Drosophila melanogaster: one gene and its partners. Changing the gene in region 1 together with any one later gene gives a genetic interaction. Each region holds a gene or a part of one and is shown in the gene's direction. Other genes may lie near its edges.

Region 1 (5,786 bases):
TTCGTAAAACTATTTCACATCAGATAGACTCAAGTGTAGTAAATATTATAGTAATGAACCCAATGTGTGGTTTTTTTTAATCAACCCTTTTTGATACGTTCATATTTCTTATTTCAGAATGAATACATCGTAAAAAAATAATTTTAAGTAAGAACAGCGCCTATCATAGCTTCAAAAAAACAGGGCTTGTGTGCAGTAATCAGCAACGAATATTATAGATAAAAACTTATGCGTCACTCCAAAGTTAAAAGCAAATAAATTGGTAAGCATGATAAGTTCACAACGACTCTTATTGATCGATTTCCAATATTTCAAAAAGCACAACGAATACACATGTTTTGTAAGAATTGAAAATAAAAATAGTTCCATTGCACATGTAAATGATGTCAAAATTGTCAAACAAAATAGAAAAACGTAACAAAACAAATTGATTTGGTTCGGAAAATAAAGATTACTATATTCAAAATAGGCAGCATTTAGGTGATATTTATTTGTATGCAATAATGGAATTTAAGGAATGGAAATTTAAGAAAGCTGAAAAAGTAAACATTAAATTGTTTGTCAACAAAATATGGTCAAAATCTCTTTAAATCCTAAAATATGTACAAATATTTTCGTATGGTAATTAGGACGTGACGATTTAAATAAATGCTTGCGAACAAAATATGGTTACAGCTCGGTAAATACATATTTACCAAATGTCCACAAATATTAACGTATGGTAATGTGACAATTTACGGACTTTCGTAAATTCCAAGTTTCTTTTGGAAAGCTGTAGATTTGCAGTTCTTATGCGGAGAACATTCCCCCAAAGTCGGAGTAAGAGAAAATGGCCGGAGAATTGATATTCAATATAGGAATTGGCATTTAAAAAACCCCCACATCCACACACACGCACATTCATGCACACACACACCCACATGCCCGCACGGCGCACACACGCGAGGGGTTTGCGCACACGTACGCATGCACATGCAAGCGTGTGTGTGTGTGTGTCCGAGTGCATAATTGAGAAATGAGTGTTCGGCGTGTCTTCAATTCGATTTTAATTCGGTGTAATTTGATCAAAGACTCACCTTCTTCGCACAAATTCGCGGAGAAGAGGCCCACAAAGAGGCACAAGATTAGGAATTTCGCCTGCCGATTCATTGTGGTCGTTAAACGCTGAGTACTCGAACGACAAAGTCAGCAAATCTGCAAGGCAAAGAAAATACGTTTGCGAAGTGGTTGGGGATTAACAGATACCGCTGGAGTCAGTATTGCACAACTGGCGATGTCGCCGAGCTCCGATTTCGCTCACCCACAAATTAAAGCAAGGCGCAATTAAGGAATGAATAACACGACACGAAGACCAGATTCTTTTATGCCAACTCGATACTTCGATGCATCCCGATACATCGACAGCTGAGCCGTGCTCTGCAGCCCTGGCACTCGGCGCTTATCAGTAGGGGGAGACCGTAATGTAGTTGAAACGCCTCGCATTTGGTGCAATATAAAATTATGATCATAAATTTGTCCTTATATTTTACTTGATTTATTACTATAAAATTGTATACCCACCTAGCAATTTATTTGAAATATTTGTAGGTTAAATCTATATAAACATAAGTAATTTTTCACAGCTAAATCTTTCTTGATAACGCAATAACTCATTAATTTAATTTGATCGACTTAAATGTACCATTTATATTATTTTATTTTAGTGAGTATATAGTAGTAGTACAGTATAAATATGAAGTTTTTATAATTATTTATCAAATTAGAGAGTGCCTCTGTTCCAAGTGTAGAATTCAGGTGTGTTGGGGGAATACCCCTAATAAAATTGCTGTATCATCATTATATCTTGTTGCTGCAGAGCGAAGAAGACGTCAGTGTCAGTTTAATTCCGTAATCCAAGAAACGGTAACACTTCACACTTGGTGATTCAGAATTAGTAGATATTTCTTGTCTGTTTATGGCCCCTGTGAAGACAGGACTCGAATTAGCGTAAAGGAACGACCAGGAGAGCACCAAGATGACCTCGTACGTGCGTGCCATGTACGACTTTACCGGGGAGCCGGGCTCCTCGGAGCTCTCCATCGCGACTGGCGACGTGCTCTCGGTGACCCGGAGCGATGTGGGTGAAGGCTGGTGGGAGGGCAAGAATGCCCGTGGCCAGATTGGCCTCTTCCCGGCTGCGTACGTGGAGGTGATGTCGGCGGCCGAAGCCCAGAAGCTGAGCGCCAGTGGAGCGACGTCGGTGCCACAGGTTCCGGATCCCTTCGCCTCGCCCCCTTTGCCGCGTTACGATCAGACGGCGGATGATGATGGCAGCAACTGGGATGATGAGGACGATTGGAGCGACGACAATGACACGTACTCGGAAATTGGTCCAGGTGGCCAGAAGTCTGCGGGACAGTCGGCTCGCGCTGGCGGATTGTCGCATTCCACCAGTGACTACGATAACAAACACCTGCCCATCGCGCCCAACGATGATACCCAATCACTGGCCTCCGTGGCTGGTGGGACTGGTGCTGCTGGCACCGTCAAAAAGGGCATGTTCGCCAAAAGTTCCGATTCATATATACTCGGCTTGTCCAGCACCAAGGAGAAGATACCCGAATGCGAGATGGCCTACATTACACAGGTGGAGGACTCGATCTACCAGTGGACGCAGAACCATTCGCCCTACTCCGTTGTGGTGGCCAGTCCCAAAAAGGAGTCCAAATTCAAGGGGATGAAGACGTTCATTGCCTACCAACTGACGCCTAGCTTCAACAACATATCCGTAAGTTGGCCAACCCTGATATCGCCGTGATTAACAACACAATACGATAAAGCTCCGACCGTTGGCGCATGAGTGTGTAACTACGGGTGCAATATTTTGTTGATAATATGTGTCTGTGCTGTGTTCGCTACCCTCTGCCAAGGGTAATTTGGGCTGGTTCATGTGCTCACGAGCAGATGGAATGGAATAAAGAAAGACCAATCCTTTGTTTATCGAAACTCCGCACTAATTGCCGGCCAACATTTTCCAACTGAGTTGACCTTAAAAGTGACCCTTTTTTGCTGAGAAAATTTAAATGGAGATCATATCCATTTCTTTAATTGGTTTGTTTTATTAAGACTCTGAAAATTGGCTAAATTTATCTTTTTATTTGTTAAAGTTTTAATACTATTCAAAGCTATAGTTCATTTCTTATTAGCTACTTAAATAGTATTTTGATAATTTCGATCAACTTTATTCATTACAATAATGAGAAGCATAAATGCTCGACATTACTTTCGAACTGAAATCAAAGCTCTTTGTAAAGTTCTTTCAGTCCATTAAAATACACATACAAATAGGTAGAGCATTACAGAGTCGTAAAAGCACTTAAAATTCTTCTTTGTGGGGGCAATTCTGACCAACTGGTAGCCAGCGGCACTGCGATGATTGCTTGTGCTTGCGAACCGCCACGGGGAATGACTCAGCAACGAGCTCTGACCCCCCGAGCTCCGGGCTCCTCTTTGCGTGACCCAATCACAATTAATTGGTCATATCTAATCTGGGTTTCCCTTTCGTTAGGTGTCACGTCGCTACAAGCACTTCGACTGGCTGCACGAACGTTTGGTGGACAAGTTTTGCCTGATTCCGGTGCCACCGCTGCCGGACAAGCAGATCTCCGGCCGCTATGAGGAGCAATTCGTGGAGCATCGACGTGTGCAGCTGCAGGAGTTCGTCGACTGGGTGTGCCGCCATCCGGTGATCTCCAAATGCGAGGTCTGGTACCATTTCCTCACTTGCCGCGACGAGAAGATCTGGAAGTCGGGCAAACGCAAGGCGGAACGGGATCCCTACATGGGCGTCAACTACTGCCTGGCCATCTCGCCGCCGGACAAGAACCTGCTGCACTCTAAGGTGGACGCACAGGTGGAGCTGGGCACCCAGTTCATACACAGCATGGACGTGGCAGTACGCAACCTGAACAATATATCCAACGACATGGCCAAGCGCTCCATGTCGCAGAGTAAAAAGGAGTTCCAGCGCATTGGCGACGGACTCTCCGACCTGGCCAAGGCATTGGCCATCGATGAGCGGCGTGCGCCCACCCGAAACGCGGTTCCGCTCTCCGAGAGCGTCGGCCGCATCGGTGGCATCTTTATCGGTATTGGACAGGCCTTTGGCGACCAGCCAAAGCATGATTGGATTCCCCTCTCGGATCGACTTCACATCTACAGGTGGGTTGACGTCTCTATAAGTGATGGGAAGCATAGCACATTTCGTTTCATTCATCAGTAATTGATTAGCTGACTGAAAATGGGAATTCCACGACATGTGTCATTTCTATACTAGAAGTTACAATAGGCACATACATATATGGCTGAATTACTCACAATTAAAAATTTTCGATAGATTACTTTCTTGTAAATTGTTTTTAAGGTATCAAGTTTATTTATAAAGAACTCAAATTGTTTACTTTTAAGCAATGAATCAATGTATAGTTTCGCGAGAAAAATCGATTGTTGGCCAATAGTTTATTTTAGATTATTGTGGTTCTTACGCTGACTGACCTTTAGTTTAACAAGAAATATATACATAGATATACATATGTATAATATATATATAACTTCTAGAGAATGTGGTAACTTTCCGTCGCTATTTGTTTATAGAACGATCTAGAAGCATTATCTAATTCTTACTTTCACTTTTCCAAATAGGGGCGTTCTCAACTGCTTTCCGGACATCTTCTCCACGCACAAGGGTGCCATACAGAAGCGAAAGGACTGCGAGAAATTGGCCGGCGAGGGCAGGATGAATAATCCCCAGTTGCACGACGTTAACCGGCGCACAGATGTCGTCTCCTACACGGTGCTGGCCGAGCTGACCCACTTCAAGAGCGAGCGGGATACGCATTTGAAGCATACGCTTAAGAATTTCATTGCCGAACAGATTAAGTTTTACCAGGGCGTGGTGGCGCGCCTGCAGGAGGCCAGCCGTCAGATTGAGTAGATTGGCCCTTGGCCCATGGCGACGACGACTCATCGCTGAAGAGATCGACGGCTGGGAGCACAAAGAAACCGCACCGGGCACACACTTCCACACAGAGATACATAGCTGAAAACATTCGCACGCGCGCATTTCAAATGCCTTCGAAAGGAACTCTTACTTTAAGCGTGGTTCTAACTAAATGTTAAACAGAAAAAATATTACATAATGTTGTTTGTAAGTGAAAAGTTGCGTATTTATACAGAAATTAACTTTTATATGCCTATTATACACTGAACTTGAGATGCAAATATAACTATATTTATACAGAACCACTTGTGCAAGTGCATCATCTGCATCATAATCATCATATTTGGATGATCCAACCAAACCCGCTGAATTAAAAGTCTCGGTGGCGATTTGCTATTCTGTTGCCTTTATCAGCGAAATTCTCTAAAAGGGTTCTCTTTATTTTTCCATTTTCATGTTCATGCTTTTGCTTTGCCATTTTCGCGTTAATAAGTTTTGTGATTCTTGTGTTTGTTTGGTTTTTTTGTTTTTTTTTTTTGTATCTAGAACATAAGTGTTAGATTGCACATGTTAGGGATGATGATTTCATAAATAATCAGCGTAATAACTAGTAAAAACAAAAAGAAACACATTTCGGAATGGATACAAAATCGGTTGTTTGCCTTTTAGCGCTGCGCTTTGTTTTCGTTTGATTTTTGGCGAGGTCATAGGTGAAGGTGAAGGGTCCAAGGATTGTCCTGGCATTTTTGGAGGATAGTCGGATGTGGGTTTCCAGGGATGGGAATCGGGTTGTGGGGGGATCACTAAG
Region 2 (3,894 bases), on another chromosome or scaffold:
TGATTATTGCACCCAGCCATCGGAAGTCGCACAGCCTAGATGCGAGTCATGTGCTGAGTCCCAGCAGCAATATGATCACGGAGGCGGCCATTAAGGCCAGCGCCACCACTAAGTCTCCTTACTGCACGAGGGAAAGGTGGGTTTTGCAATACATTATTGTGAGCTTAGAGATTTACTAATGCAACCTTTTATCGTAGTCGATTCCGCTGCATTGTGCCGTATCCACCAAACAGTGACATTGAACTAGAGCTACATTTGGGCGACATTATCTACGTCCAGCGGAAGCAGAAGAACGGCTGGTATAAGGGCACCCATGCCCGTACCCACAAAACCGGGCTGTTCCCCGCCTCCTTTGTTGAACCGGATTGTTAGGAAAGTTATGGTTCAAACTAGAATTTATTAAGCGAAATTCCAAATTACTTGTCTAAAAGGATTCAATCGTCGGTCTATTCGGGCTTCCAAATACGCAATCTCATATTTCTCTTTTCAAAAAAGAAACCGTTTTGTACTCTTCCAATCGAATGGGCAGCTCGCCGTTGTACTTTTTTATACAATGCTTGATCAAAATAGGCTAGCCATGTAAGACTTAGGGAACAGTTACTTAAGCCTTAGCGATTAGTTAGCTAGAGAAATAATCTAACCGATCCTTGTGCCCTCTACAAAGTTATTTGTAATATACGATACTCAGTAATACCCTTTGGTCGTTTTAACTTATTTTATTCACCAAGCAAAACATCGAGGCTAACTGTGGATTCAACTACGGCAGGCAAGGTTACTCGCTTTTTTCGAACTTGGATCCGTAGATGGGCACGTACTGTAGGACCAGCTTCCAGTCGGTGTAGTAAAGCACGGCCAGGCCAGCAGCTCCTCCGAATCCGGCTCCAGATCGGATGCTACGAATTAAAAGAAACTAGTTTAGTTCTCTGGATGGGGTTATGCAATGTGTGCTTTGGTAGCAGTAAAAGAGCGGGAACACTAATGAATTCATGATGCAGAATCAAGCACGACAGCATATACTTACAAGGAACTCGCTATCTCAGCGTGCTTCTTGCCAAAAGGTATGCGGAAAGCCATTTTTGTTGATTTAATAACTTTTCACACGCACCAAAATGTTCGCAATGAACGCAATAGTTTCAAATGTCCTAAATAATACCACTACAGTGTGACCGTAGGATAGCGTAAAACTTTAAAAGCAAGGTGTGACAACACTGTGCGGCCTACGTGAGAACAACAACTAGTCATCAACAAAAACTAATATTCGCAAAGAACTCATCAAAAATTACGAAATTAAAATGAAAATATCCGTTTTTGGGGAGCTTAACACATTCGAGCTGTTTGTCCTGTCCACTGTGATACCGGCGGTGTTCGTTTTCCTTTGGACTCTGATATCTGGCGATATGAAGGTACGGCAGATAGTGCTTATCAGAATGGTTAATTTTAAGTAATTTTCCCTTTCTGCCCTGAGTTTACAGAACTTCAAGGGCAGCAAATTGGCATACTCAGTTTATACGGCCAAGGATCCCATTAATTGCTATCAAGACTACGAACCAGAGAAGCAAAAGGATACGTAGACTATGTGCCGGGTTGGATTACCAGGGCCCACCATCTTTTATACTTTTATTGCATATATGTATGTATGCAAATTGTGTGATGAATAGAAGAGGGTTTTTGAAAAAAGACAATAAACCTTTGTGGGCTGCATTTCATATTTTGTTTTTTCTTTGTAGCTTTCGGCAATTTTCATATATTTGGAAATATTTTAAAAGTAAACAAAAACTTAATTGCAATATGAATCATATTTTGAACCACCTGGTCACACCCACCCCTTGTTGGTATTTTCGCGTTTGTAGCGAACCTTCTCACTGAAGTGAGTCCAGTCAAAGATTTTAAGGTAATTTTTGGCTTTCTAATTGTTTAAACGCTTACTTATCGACGGATATTGCGGGTTTTGATCGTGTCCTGCGCACTTCCTGGTGCCCATACGCACCAGCAATCCGATAGTCCTGAAGTCTGGCCGAAAAACCAAAACAAACAAAGAAGACAACTACGCAGAAGACGAACAAAAACAATGTCGGAAACATACGGTTTGTCAGCACACATTTAATTAATTAATGCATTTTACTAATTAATATCGGTGCTCGGCGCTCACCTAGATTACCTGTTCAAGTTCCTGATAATTGGCAGTGCTGGCAGCGGTAAGAGTTGTCTGTTGCATCACTTCATCGAGAGCAAGTGTAAGTTTGGTGGTAGCCTGAAAATGGTACACGCCTAATGCATTTTATACATTTTGATGTACCATCAAAGTCAAAGACGACAGTTCGCACACCATCGGAGTGGAGTTCGGCTCGCGGATTGTGAACGTGGGCGGCAAGTCGGTAAAGCTACAGATATGGGACACAGCCGGTCAGGAGAGATTCCGATCGGTGACAAGATCGTACTATCGCGGAGCAGCCGGAGCTCTCCTGGTCTACGATGCCACTTCGCGGGACTCTTTCAATGCTTTGACAAACTGGCTGAATGATGCTCGCACTCTGGCCAGCCCAAATATTGTGATCCTTTTGGTGGGCAATAAAAAGGACTTGGAGGAGGCGCGTGATGTGACCTTTCTGGAAGCAAGCACCTTTGCCCAAGAGAACGGTCTGTTTTTTAGGATTCTCCATAAATTTCCTATCGTAATTCTACGTCTGTTTGTCGTTGCAGAGCTTATCTTCCTGGAGACGAGCGCCAAGACGGGGGAGAATGTTGAAGAGGCCTTTCTCAAGTGCTCAAAGACCATACTGGCCAAAATTGAGACCGGAGAGCTGGATCCCGAGCGCATCGGCAGCGGTATTCAGTACGGCGGAGCTGCTCTCCGTAACTTACAGACACGACAGCGCAGCATCAATAAGCCGGATTGCACCTGTCGCGTTTAAGTCGCATAAGTTGTGCTGATTTATTTCCATTTAATCTCAAACCGGAATGCGCATTCGGATTACCCCTTAGTTGTATTGTGTACTTGTGTGTGTCCACTTTTTTAGTATGTATTTTGTCTTGCTAGATTAATCATTCCAATTGTAAGCATAATGCTAATCGATTTGTTTTTTAACATAACCAATTACCACTTTGAAAACCTATGATTTCGGGTTAACCCCAAATGTTACTTACTATAATTTGTAATTCGTGAAGCACTAGAGCCCTCGAGCAACAAATGATGTATGGCTATAAGCACATGGATCTGATCTAGAGGATGAACAGAATACACTCGGCATTTTTAATGTAAATAAGTAGCGATACGCCGTTGACGACGTCGCCGATTGTAAATCCCATTGAAGCATGCACGCGGTAAATAAAAACGCCCATTGATAAATTCAATTGTATAAAAATATTTATTTCGACCCAAGGTAACAAATATTGTATTGGGGAAGCTATTAAATTTTATTAATAACAATGAAGCTAAAACATTTTAAATGGCAATAATTGATAAAAAAATAATTAAAAACCGTTTGTATTTGAGGAAATTGGCATAGCATCTTTAGATTGTGTTTCCAAATGGGCTGTTTTTGTTTTGATTTAAAAGGTCTTAACAATTTATGGTGATCAAAAATGATTTTTTGGTTTTAGACATTTATGTCTATTAAAGCGATGGAAAAGTATTTTTTAATTCTAAGATATACAGTTAAGTTCATTAGGTGCCCTTTGCTGTCCTCTTCCAAAGGATTACGTCTTGGCTAGAAAGCAAATTCAATGCAGTTTAGCAGAAACTAGACTGGGCTGGAATCATCATATTAGGCGTCGCATTTGCTTAGCTGCTGAAGGGCGTGCTTGGCAGCCGATAGCTTGGCCTGGTCCTTATTGCTCCCAAATCCGTACACCTTGATCGTCTTTTCCATGCAGGTAAATTGACAACTAACCATT
Region 3 (4,833 bases), on another chromosome or scaffold:
ATTAAGTTAAACCCGAACTGCCGCCCATACGCCACGCCCATATCTTGGCCATGCTAATCCGAGCCCTGGTCTACGTCAAGGACTATTCTGAGGCGGGCAGAGCTTTGAAGGAGCTGACCGTGAAGGACAGCACGTGGAGTGCCTCGGGACTCTTGGATCGCAGCATCGTTCACAAAATTGCGCAGGAGTGCCACTTGGAGTTCGATCTCATCTGGAATGCGGGACGCCAGGTGACCGCCTCCACAAGCGGTACGGCCGCCACTGGAATGAGCAGCACTTCTGGGATGACGACTACTGATGATGACGACGCCGATGACGAGGAGATCACCGAGGAGCTGCATTAGATGATTCAATTAATAGGCGATGCAGCACCTAGTCACGTCCCAGTTCCGCAGAGCGGATAACAAGTAAATAGGCAAAAGAGTTCCCTTTAAATTGGATAAGCAATGGCTACAATGGAATGTTTCAACCAGCAGATACTAAGTTATGCTAAGATATTAAGTATTAATGATCATAAACGAAAGTATATACAATGACAGAAATCGTGGAAAGCATCTTAAAGTTCTCAATCAAAACGAACAAGTTACGTATTTGTATAACTTGTATTTGTATTTCACAAGACTGCTTAAATTTCTGCTTATATTGTATACAAATCCCTTGCTTGGGCCATTTGGAATTTTATGAATGAACTTCACGATGTACGCAAGCCTAGTAAAAGCTTTCGGTGCTGAAACATACATATGTATATGTATGTAGGTATATGACTTGGATGTGAGTTCAAGTGACCGACGTCACATCAAAGCAAATATAAACAGCGATACGGATTCGGATCGGCGGATCTGCCGGCGCCAGTCGGAAAGCAAAAGAGAGCGGCCATCCGTGAATCACTTGCCCAAAAGCGTCCGCGTCCTCAGCTATGTATGAAATCAGAGGCATTTCCAGGAAGCCAGCGAAACTCGGAACAATCGAAAGAGCAATCAGTTGGCGAACTGATATAAACTAAATCGAAAACGTCACCGACGTCAAGCAATTGGATATTTAGATCCCAAATATAATTACCATATATGGATATGGAATGGTTTAGTTTTATAAATACTGACCCTTAACTGGAACTTGTCACGAAGTAAAATGCGCACAAGGATGAACTGCGGATAGGAGGCTTGTAGAGAAAACCATGTATCACTCGATTATGACATAACTATTTATTATTTATATTTATATCTTCTATCTATATATATCTTATATCATTCTGGGAGCGACCTTTTGCCAAATATCGGAACAGAGATAAACTGATATTCCAAGTAGGCATGGCATGGACCACAGACAACTAACGACTCATGCCCGATTTCCCAGAAGAATGACGCGGCAAAGGCAACAAGACAACAAATCCAAATAGGAGGGGAATCGATGAATGAATGAATTTTCGTTGGCCCCCAAACGACCTTCCACCCGAGCCACCCCCTGTGGCCCACACACAAGGCTGGGGAACTCCGTCGGCTTCCCGCCGATCGACGATCGCTGTGCTCAATGGACGGGTGACTCATACGGACTAGGCCAGTTTCACGACGTCATGCTTAAGGTTGTTATTTGCTTTGCGAGCGAGCGATAAGTGGGCACTGCGGAGAGCGAAAGCTCGCGAGCCGAGTGGCAAACGCCGCCGGCAAACTGGTCCCGAGCAGCCAGTGCCCCTCGAAGTCAGCCGGTTGGTCATGGGGCAGCCGAGTCGGCGAGAGAGCGCCAAGTGGAAAGCTCATGGGAGCCGACTTCGTCATGGCTTTATCACTGTTCGCCGGCGCTGATCATTAGTTCGTCACTCGCCAAGTGGGTCGGATCAGGGCCAGAGCGATCGAAGATCGGCGATCTGGAGTGGAATACGGCGCTACTCTTAACCCGATCGGCGGATCTGTAATCGGTCGATGCAATAACGGTTATTAAACGTTTCCAATCGCAAACTTTCCGCGAAAGATTTCCGCGATTTGCGGCACGTGGAAAGCCTGCCGCTGACTCCACTTGTCCGGTCAGCAGGTGAAATACCCTGACTATCTCGGGTGAATCATCCAGCCAGACGAACACACATCCTAAATCCGTTTCAACCGGTTGCAGGCTACCAATAAACGCAATAATGCGAAAGTGTGATTCCTAGAATATTATGATTAAACAGGGCCAAAGTGAAGTGAATATTCTAGTAGTGCAAAAGGGCGCCAAAAACATAAACAATAAAGTGTAATTAAGTGCACTTACCAAAAATCAAGCTGGTATAATGAAATCTTAGTGAAAATCAAACAATAAGCAAATATAGATTAGATGAATTTATATGCCAACCGAATAATGTCAAAGAAAAGTGAAACGGTAAAGCTACCAAAAGTCTTTAGCTAATAGCTGATATTGCACTTTCGAAGTGGGAGCAGGAACATCCCAGCTTAATGGCCATTCTACAGAATAGCCGCCAGAGCCACAAGCAACTCCCAATCATCAGCCAGACGATTCGCAGTGCTTGGTGCCAACAGAGGCCGATTAATGCCATGCATCAGGATGTCCGGCAAAAAAGCATCGGATCCGGAAACGAGACCAAACTGGAAGCGAAGGAGACGGAAGTTCCCACCAACAGAAGAAGACGCAGAAGGCGTTGCAGCAGTAGCTCCACCAGCGACTCAAGCGCATCCTCATATTCCTCAACAGACTCGGATTCCGGGTCCTCCACCAGCAGCAGTAGCATAAGAAGCCAATTACCCGCCCTCAACTTGCCAGTGCCCCTCCCGCTGGCGACACCCACTCCGCCCGCCGTTTCATCGCCTCACCAGGCGCCATCTCCTCGAAGGAACTCCAGCGACTCCAACCGGAGCGTCTCTCCCGTGGAGGTGCCCGTGGATCCGCACGCTTGGACGCCCGAGGACATTGCCAGCTGGGTGAGATGGGCGACGCGCAAGTTCAAACTGGACCCGGAGCCGGATATCGACAGGTTTCCCAAGGATGCCCAGGAGCTGTGCGATCTGTCTCGCGCGGACTTCTGGGTCTGTGCAGGATCAAGGCGCGGAGGCATGCTCCTGGCGCAGCACTTCGCGATCAGCTTATACCACGCCACCGGACGGGAGACGAGTCCGATGCTCAACGACGACGAACCAAGTGAGTGCCTAAGATAGAGCTTATTTGAAGAGGGATTTCAAATCCTAGCCTATGTCCTCTTATGGCTTAGTCTTTGAATTCCTATTTCTGAAGTGCCAACCCTTCCAGAATCGAGTAAAACTACTTAAACGGAGCCACATTTTTCTCACTGTCCCAAGCTAATCTCGGGCCACATAAATCTGCAGAGTCCAGAGATTGAACTGCTTGGTAATTGGGTTCACGTGCTATTCCCAGCGGAGCGATTGTCCGACTCTCGAATCCTTTGTGGTCAGGCATCAATTGAATCCTTTTGCCTCCGTCGCCGGCCAAATGGCCACTGATTAAGATGCCTTCGTGCTGATACGGCTGTAACTTATGTGCTCCATTGATTGTTTCTCCCACACTTCTCCGGATGTCTTGATAAGGAGGAAAAGTGGCCGAAGGTGCGGGAAATCCCCTTTTAATTACCTTTCGCTCGAGTTGGCCAACTTTCTCCGAGACTCCATTAACGTAAGTCGTTGGGAAAATCTCTGCGCGACAGCAGCAAAGTATGCAACACTTTTCCAGTTATTAACTGGCGATGACTGCCAACGCAAAGGCGATGGGCGTTGGGGGGGGATGGGGGGGGGGCGTGTCAGGGCCTTGTGGGTGGTCGCGTCAAGTGATGAACTTAATAATAAACGATGTAAATATGATAATTTCTCGCAGGATGTGGCATCTAATAATAAAATCAAAATAATCCCACGCCAGCGACAAAAGTCGCCGAGTCAAGTTTCAGCTTGGCGGAAAAAGTGGGCTGAAGGTCGGGTGGTTTGGATGGCTTGGATAGCTGAGATGGGTTGGGTGGTTTGTCCGTGACAACAGCTCTGCGGGTGGTCAGCTTTTGGGCACAGGAAAATATTCATTCGTCGCATCCTTCCTGTGGCAGGAAGAGCAAGTGCAGGGCGGGCAAAGCCCCCTGATTCGGGTCTGGCATATGCTGGTGGATGGGTGTTCCATGGACTACACATACATGCCTTGATCCCGGGAGCAGGCGACGTCGATTTAATTGATTTGTTTTTTATGCCAACCAGGATTACGCGTCGTCGCCGTCACGCAGATTACATTTGTTGTGGGCTACGGTTGTGGCTCCCATGTCTGAGTCACCGCCCCCTTTACAGGGTACAAACTGGATCAAAGCCATTCCCTGTTCACAATGCCACAGCCACCAATAGTACGTACCTTGAGGAACATACCAATGAAACCATTAGTCATATGATTTCCCAAAAACTCGGATATATTTCCCCACGCAAACAGAATACTTTTCTGGTTCCATCATCCATCGGACGCGCCCCTGCCACCTTATAATATATCCAGCCACTCGCAACTGGGTATGCATTAGTCGAAACGCTGCAAAAGAACAAGTTGCTTATCGTGTGCGAAGGGGTGGGTGCTGGTTGAGTGGCTGCACGTGGCCTCTGACTTTGCGACTTCCCTGGCAAATGCCGAAGCGGCATTTACCACCAGCTGCGCAGGTGAGCCGTAATCGTGCCCGGAGCTTCGACTGCTTCGCGGATGCCCATGCTCCCATCCAAGATGCCAGATGCCAGGCATCCGTCCGGTGCTAAGGAGCGAAATCCGGCCAGCGCTTCTGGCTAAAGTTTCAGTCGGCGAATGGCTCTCGTCCTAAACGGTTGACGCGCTCCCGGCATAGACCTTCATTGATGGTCATAGAACAATCCAATCGGGTCA
Region 4 (5,843 bases), on another chromosome or scaffold:
CGCACAAAAGTATCTCAAACGCTTTTTTCGCACACTTTGCAGGCATTTTAATGCACAGACGACCGAGAAAAAAATAAAATAAGAGCCGATGCTCAAAGCTCACTTCTTGGAATTTCGATTTACAATTTAGCTCTTCACTTTTTGCTGGTCCTGTGATTTTTTTTGTTCGTTATGCTGTTTTTGAGGTCCCCCGCTATTGTTGTGCCCCATTCCCATTTCCATTCACATTGTTGCTGCAATTTCTTTCTCCGCAGCCTATTCTCATTCTTTATCAAATTTACCCACTCACACACGCACACACACGTGTGTGAGTGTGCTTTTGCATACGCTTTTGATTCCGCTTCCTCCGCTTTGCCCTTTTTCTGGAGCCCGGCGATATCACGGTGGTATTATCTGAAATCCATAATTGCGAGGCTATAATTGGAATGAATAAAAGCATAAAAACTGGATAAGAATTTGGTAAGTAAAAATGAAAATAGCAGAACAACTCGAGCTAGAAACTACTTTTAAATAGTAGTAGTAAGTTCACAGATTTACCTCTAGTATATGTATTTTGCCACACTGTGCGCTCGGATCGCTATGAATGAGATTGGTTCTGAGCTTTTTCCTTCCCTATGCGCTTTTTTAACTTGTTCAAAACCACTTTATGATTTCTGCGTCCTTCTCGTCGTTTTGTGCTGGTTGTTTTCCATAAAGATGATCCTCTCGGCTCTTCCTGCAGCAACAACAAAAGCTGGCCAAAGGAATTCAGCGGAATGAAACCGTAGCTCATTTGGTTGGTGGCTTCGGCTGTGGTTGGTCCCGAAATCATTTACTTTCGCCTGCTCTTCAAGCGGTGTGAATGATATGGCCTGGTTGCACTGGCCTGTCCTTCATTTGTTTGCCGCGAACCTTACAAAAACACACTCGAACTGCACAGCACAGCCCATGGGTGTTCGCAAACCCCCAACCCTCCTTAGTGAACCCCTCGGATCCTCCAGAATGACTCCCGCAGGGCATCGGCGCATATGTAACTCGATTTTTGCTTTAACTTTGCCGCGATTGCACACAAACGAGGGGCTACAGTGGAGCTTCGGCGTGGGCAACTAGTCTGAGCTTCACATTATCGATTATTGGTCATATCGCATGGTTGACATCATGATTTTCCACGTGTTTGCTACTGTTAGTAGTAGTTTATCTAGCTTAAGATCTGTGTTTGTACGGATTCTCATTAAAGACACACGGTCCATCGTGTAGAGTGCTACCTGTGAATGGATCTCTGTGGCTGGAAGCTTTGCTCATTTAACGACATTGGCGTCTACGTCTGCAGAACACAAAGGAGCCACGCCCCCTCCACGACCGCCCATCCCGCCGGTGCGGCGATCATATGACTGCGGCCACTACCTGCTGATATGTAGTTTTCAGGGAGGGGTTACAAGGGGGGACAGGGGGCAGCAGGAATGCGTGGATCTCACATTATTACCTGCAAACGACACAATCGATGCCGCCTTGAAATTCTGCTTAAAGATTCGCGCAGTTCTTCAGCGTTTCCTCTTCGCTTCTTGGGGCTCCACACTATTTTCACATGTGTTCGGTTCGGAGCCTCCTCGGCTCCACTTCGGCTCCAATTGTGGCGACTTCGGATCCCCTTCGGCGGTACGCGTCGCGGTATAAAAGCTCGCGCGCCAAAATCAGTGGCCTCCATAGAGCTGGCGACCACCAAGGCGCCAGATTCTCCTCGTTTCTCGGGACATTGGTATTCGGTGCGGGATTTTGCGATAGGGGAAGTGCAGGGGAAAGGATTCTACCTGTTGCCGGCACTCTTGTGCTCCACATGAGCAGAGATTTCCAAAACTGAGTCCATATGATCCTGATTCTCCCATTTTCCCAGTTTTCCTTTTCGCATCGCACATGGCTCTGGCCCCGTCCCCGTTATGTGTGTTGGTGTCGCTCGTTGCCCGTCTCCCTTCCTCTTCTATTGGCACTTCTGGGAAGGATAGGAAGGAAAGGATAGGATGGGAAGGCAAAGGAAAGGAGCTGAGAACTAAGAGCTAAAGAGCGAAGCAGAGAGAACAAAAAACGCGCGCCATCTCGCTCGCGCCCATTAGCTCATCAGCTGATCGTGATCGGCCGGGGTGCGGTTATAAAAACCAGCTGCTCGGCATATTCAGCACATTCGTTCTCAGTTCGTCGTCGAGTCAACAGCTCTTCTTGTTCAGCCTTTCGGTTCCTCGTTCGGTGAATTGAGATTGTGCGGTTCAAATTATTGAAGAAAAAGAAAAACCTCGCACAACCACACTCCGAAATACAAAACAAAAAATCATGCTCAAACGGACACATTAACAAAAAAAAAAAACAAAAAAACCTAAATTAACTAAAATGCAATACTAGCCAAAAACCAAGGACTACCATCTCAAATTCTAAAAACAAACTGTAAATGAGTGCAGAGTGACCAAGAACAAATTGTGTTTTAGCAATTTCTTCGGCTTCAGACTCGCCAGCGAAATCAAACATCTTCGGCTCTTCGAAGCAACCAACGCAACACATAACACAACAAAACCAACAAAATGCTGTGGGAAACTATTGTGGAGGAAAACAACTGCAGCATGGATTGCAATATCAGGTAATTATGCCGCCCAAGGATTAGCAACAGCAAACCCCTTTTGCACCAGGAATACCAGTTGAAAATACGCGATAAAAAGTGCAAGTTCAAGAGCAACAGCAACAACAGCAAAGCAAAAAAAAAATACAAAAAACAGAAATGTAAACGATGGGGCCAACAAAAGTAAGAGTTCTTTTTATCACGCTCGGCACGTTTGCTTTTTGCCCGATTTTTATTTTGGCGCTCAGCTGTTGTTTTGTTGCTCGCTTGCCGTTTTTCATTCATTAAACCGGCTTCCGCGAGGCTCCAAAAAAAAGCAGCAGCAAAAAATGCTTTTTGTCCGTCGTCCGTCAGTCAGTCATTTTTTTTTTTTCGATTTTTGTTCCTTTTTTCCTCCGTGTTCTTTGCGGTTCTTTGTGGCGTGTTTTTGTTGTATTATCGCTGCGCTTGCGTGACGTGTGACCCAAAAGCAAAAGTCAAGCTGAAAAGCAGATGCATGCGAAAAGCAAAAGGGAATTCCATTTGGAGAACCGCTAATGCTTAAGTAGAATCAAGAAGAAGAAGATAAGGCGGTACGCAACGGTTCCCTCGCAATTTTAGGGAATTGTAAAAATTATCAAAAAAAAAAAAAATGGTATCAATGATATCGTGTGCGCAAGTCGAATCCCAAAAATTCCAGTTTTCGAAGCTGCATTAAAGTAAATTTCTAGTTCAGCTCCCTCTTCACCCAATTACAACAACCCCTCTCTGTATTTTCTCGGGTATTTTTGTTGTTTTTACACCACCAACGCCACCACCACCACCAGTTTGTCAGTATTTTTAGCTGGGTTTAATGACCCGCTCTTGCGAGAGTTTAGGGAAGCAAAAGCAGCTCTCTTCCTCGATGCCGAACAGTTGACTAATCCTCCCCCTCTCTTTGTTTGCTCTTGCAGTAATAACACCAGCAGTTCGAGTAGCATCAACAAAATGAGTGGATCTCGTCGTGCTCGCCGTTCCCTGGAACTGATGAGCATGGACCAGGAGGAGCTGTCGTTCTACGACGACGACGTTGTGCCCCAGGATCAGCAGCGATCGGCCAGTCCGGAGCTGATGGGTCTGCTCTCGCCGGAGGGCTCGCCCCAGCGCTTCCAGATCGTCCGCCAGCCGAAAATTCTGCCAGCTATGGGAGTATCAAGTGATCACACGCCGGCGCGCAGCTTCCGCATCTTCAACAGCCTGTCCTCCACATGCTCCATGGAGTCCTCCATGGACGATGAGTACATGGAGCTCTTCGAGATGGAGTCGCAGAGCCAACAGACCGCCCTGGGCTTCCCCAGTGGCCTAAACTCGCTGATCAGCGGCCAGATCAAGGAGCAGCCTGCTGCCAAATCGCCAGCGGGTCTGTCCATGCGCCGCCCTTCGGTCAGAAGGTGCCTCAGCATGACGGAGAGCAACACCAACAGCACCACCACCCCACCACCAAAGACCCCAGAGACTGCCCGGGATTGCTTCAAGCGCCCGGAACCGCCAGCATCGGCCAACTGCTCGCCCATCCAGAGCAAACGCCATCGCTGCGCCGCCGTTGAGAAGGAGAACTGCCCCGCACCCAGCCCACTCAGCCAGGTCACGATTAGCCACCCCCCTCCACTGAGGAAGTGCATGTCCCTGAACGACGCCGAGATCATGTCCGCCCTGGCCCGCTCCGAGAACCGCAACGAGCCCGAGCTAATCGGCGACTTCAGCAAAGCCTATGCCCTGCCCCTGATGGAGGGTCGTCATCGGGATCTGAAGAGCATCTCCAGCGAAACAGTGGCTCGCCTGCTTAAGGGCGAGTTCAGCGATAAGGTGGCCAGCTACCGCATCATCGACTGCCGCTACCCCTACGAATTCGAGGGCGGCCACATCGAGGGAGCCAAGAACCTGTACACCACCGAGCAGATCCTCGATGAGTTCCTCACCGTCCAACAGACTGAGCTGCAGCAGCAGCAGAACGCCGAATCGGGACACAAGCGCAACATCATTATCTTCCACTGCGAATTCTCCTCGGAGCGTGGACCGAAAATGTCCCGCTTCCTGCGTAATCTGGATCGCGAGAGGAATACCAACGCCTATCCGGCGTTGCACTATCCCGAGATCTATCTGCTGCACAACGGCTACAAGGAGTTCTTCGAGTCGCACGTTGAGCTGTGCGAACCACATGCCTACCGCACCATGCTGGATCCCGCCTACAACGAGGCCTATCGCCACTTTCGCGCCAAGTCCAAGTCCTGGAACGGCGATGGCCTGGGCGGTGCCACCGGGCGGCTAAAGAAGTCGCGCTCGCGACTGATGCTGTAGGTTGTGGGATGATCGTGCAGTTCGTTATCTAAGTTTGGGTGTTATCGTATTGTATATATAGACGTATAGGGGTATTTATTTCATGCTGCTTTTAAGTTGATTTTTGTTGATTTTCATTTGTTAATCCGTAGACTAAGTTTCTCGCACACGACGCAGACACACACCCGACACTCGCATTCATGCAAAACAGACAATTTCATTTGGAATTTAACGCTTTTGTTTAGTTATTATTGTTTTTATGGTTTCGGCTTTAGTTCAATTATTTAAGCACTCTAGTTCAAATTTTAAAGATAACCAACGAACAAGCAAACGAAAAATGTGCATTATAATCTAAAAACGTGAGGAACCATGTCATTTAAATTTAAGAGGCCGATCCCGAAATCAGACCCCTTAATCATTTGTAGATGATAAGCAGAACAAAAAATGGCTAAAAACAAAAAAAAAAAAAGAAAACAAATATCACACAAAAACAAACACGCTCATTAATTTCATCCATAAAACTTTATTTATAAGATCTATCGTTTAAGAGTTGAAAGTTGTAAACTTCTGCTAGGTACAATTTACGCTTATTATTTGTTTATTTTTATGTAATCCGTAACCGAACAACAAGGCACCGAAACGCAAATGCAAACAAGAAAACAAATATTTTACCATGTAATGATTATTATTTAAGCAAAGCTTATTTTTGCATCAAAAAAGGCAATATTATTGAACAAAGACCATCAATTTTAAATATACATTAATACACGACGAAAAAGAACTGAAATTCCTGGAATTTTTATCATTCAAATGGCGCCAAATGCGCATTATGTGCGGGATTTCGGTACTCTATGGGTTTTCACAGAATTAACAACTTGAAATTGGCGCGCAAAGCGAGTAGTTGCACTTTGTAAATGTCAGAGGGCGCTGTGTCCGTAAAAAATTGAGTATAACAGCGGCGACTTTT

Evidence for each region.
Region 2: of SH3PX1 (region 1) and Rab4, changing one enhances a phenotype caused by changing the other (phenotypic enhancement), as found in Drosophila melanogaster (one study listed by BioGRID).
Region 3: of SH3PX1 (region 1) and Ets21C, changing one suppresses a phenotype caused by changing the other (phenotypic suppression), as found in Drosophila melanogaster (one study listed by BioGRID).
Region 4: of SH3PX1 (region 1) and stg, changing one suppresses a phenotype caused by changing the other (phenotypic suppression), as found in Drosophila melanogaster (one study listed by BioGRID).

What each region holds. Positions count from the first base shown.
Region 1 is NT_037436.4:9,709,914-9,715,699, reverse strand, and holds SH3PX1 (SH3 and PX domain containing 1), read left to right. Parts: upstream 1-1,872; 5' UTR 1,873-2,014; coding exon 2,015-2,767; intron 2,768-3,547; coding exon 3,548-4,200; intron 4,201-4,680; coding exon 4,681-4,972; 3' UTR 4,973-5,278; downstream 5,279-5,786. Other genes in the region: vsg (visgun), read right to left, coding at 1,077-1,149.
Region 2 is NT_033778.4:17,571,631-17,575,524, forward strand, and holds Rab4 (Rab4), read left to right. Parts: upstream 1-1,831; 5' UTR 1,832-2,068; coding exon 2,069-2,084; intron 2,085-2,153; coding exon 2,154-2,234; intron 2,235-2,304; coding exon 2,305-2,637; intron 2,638-2,700; coding exon 2,701-2,912; 3' UTR 2,913-3,349; downstream 3,350-3,894. Other genes in the region: POSH (plenty of SH3s), read left to right, coding at 1-136, 198-372; UQCR-6.4 (Ubiquinol-cytochrome c reductase 6.4 kDa subunit), read right to left, coding at 773-893, 1,022-1,074; CG42239 (uncharacterized protein), read left to right, coding at 1,293-1,403, 1,473-1,571; Dcr-2 (Dicer-2), read right to left, coding at 3,765-3,894.
Region 3 is NT_033779.5:549,448-554,280, reverse strand, and holds the start of Ets21C (Ets at 21C), read left to right. Parts: upstream 1-1,826; 5' UTR 1,827-2,423; coding exon 2,424-3,123; intron 3,124-4,778; exon of another isoform or gene 4,779-4,833. Other genes in the region: rempA (reduced mechanoreceptor potential A), read left to right, coding at 7-344.
Region 4 is NT_033777.3:29,251,632-29,257,474, reverse strand, and holds stg (string), read left to right. Parts: upstream 1-1,674; 5' UTR 1,675-2,546; coding exon 2,547-2,602; intron 2,603-3,513; coding exon 3,514-4,897; 3' UTR 4,898-5,332; downstream 5,333-5,843. Other genes in the region: CG45544 (uncharacterized protein), read right to left, coding at 578-811. UniProt on the Drosophila melanogaster protein: This protein functions as a dosage-dependent inducer in mitotic control. It is a tyrosine protein phosphatase required for progression of the cell cycle. It may directly dephosphorylate Cdk1 and activate the Cdk1 activity.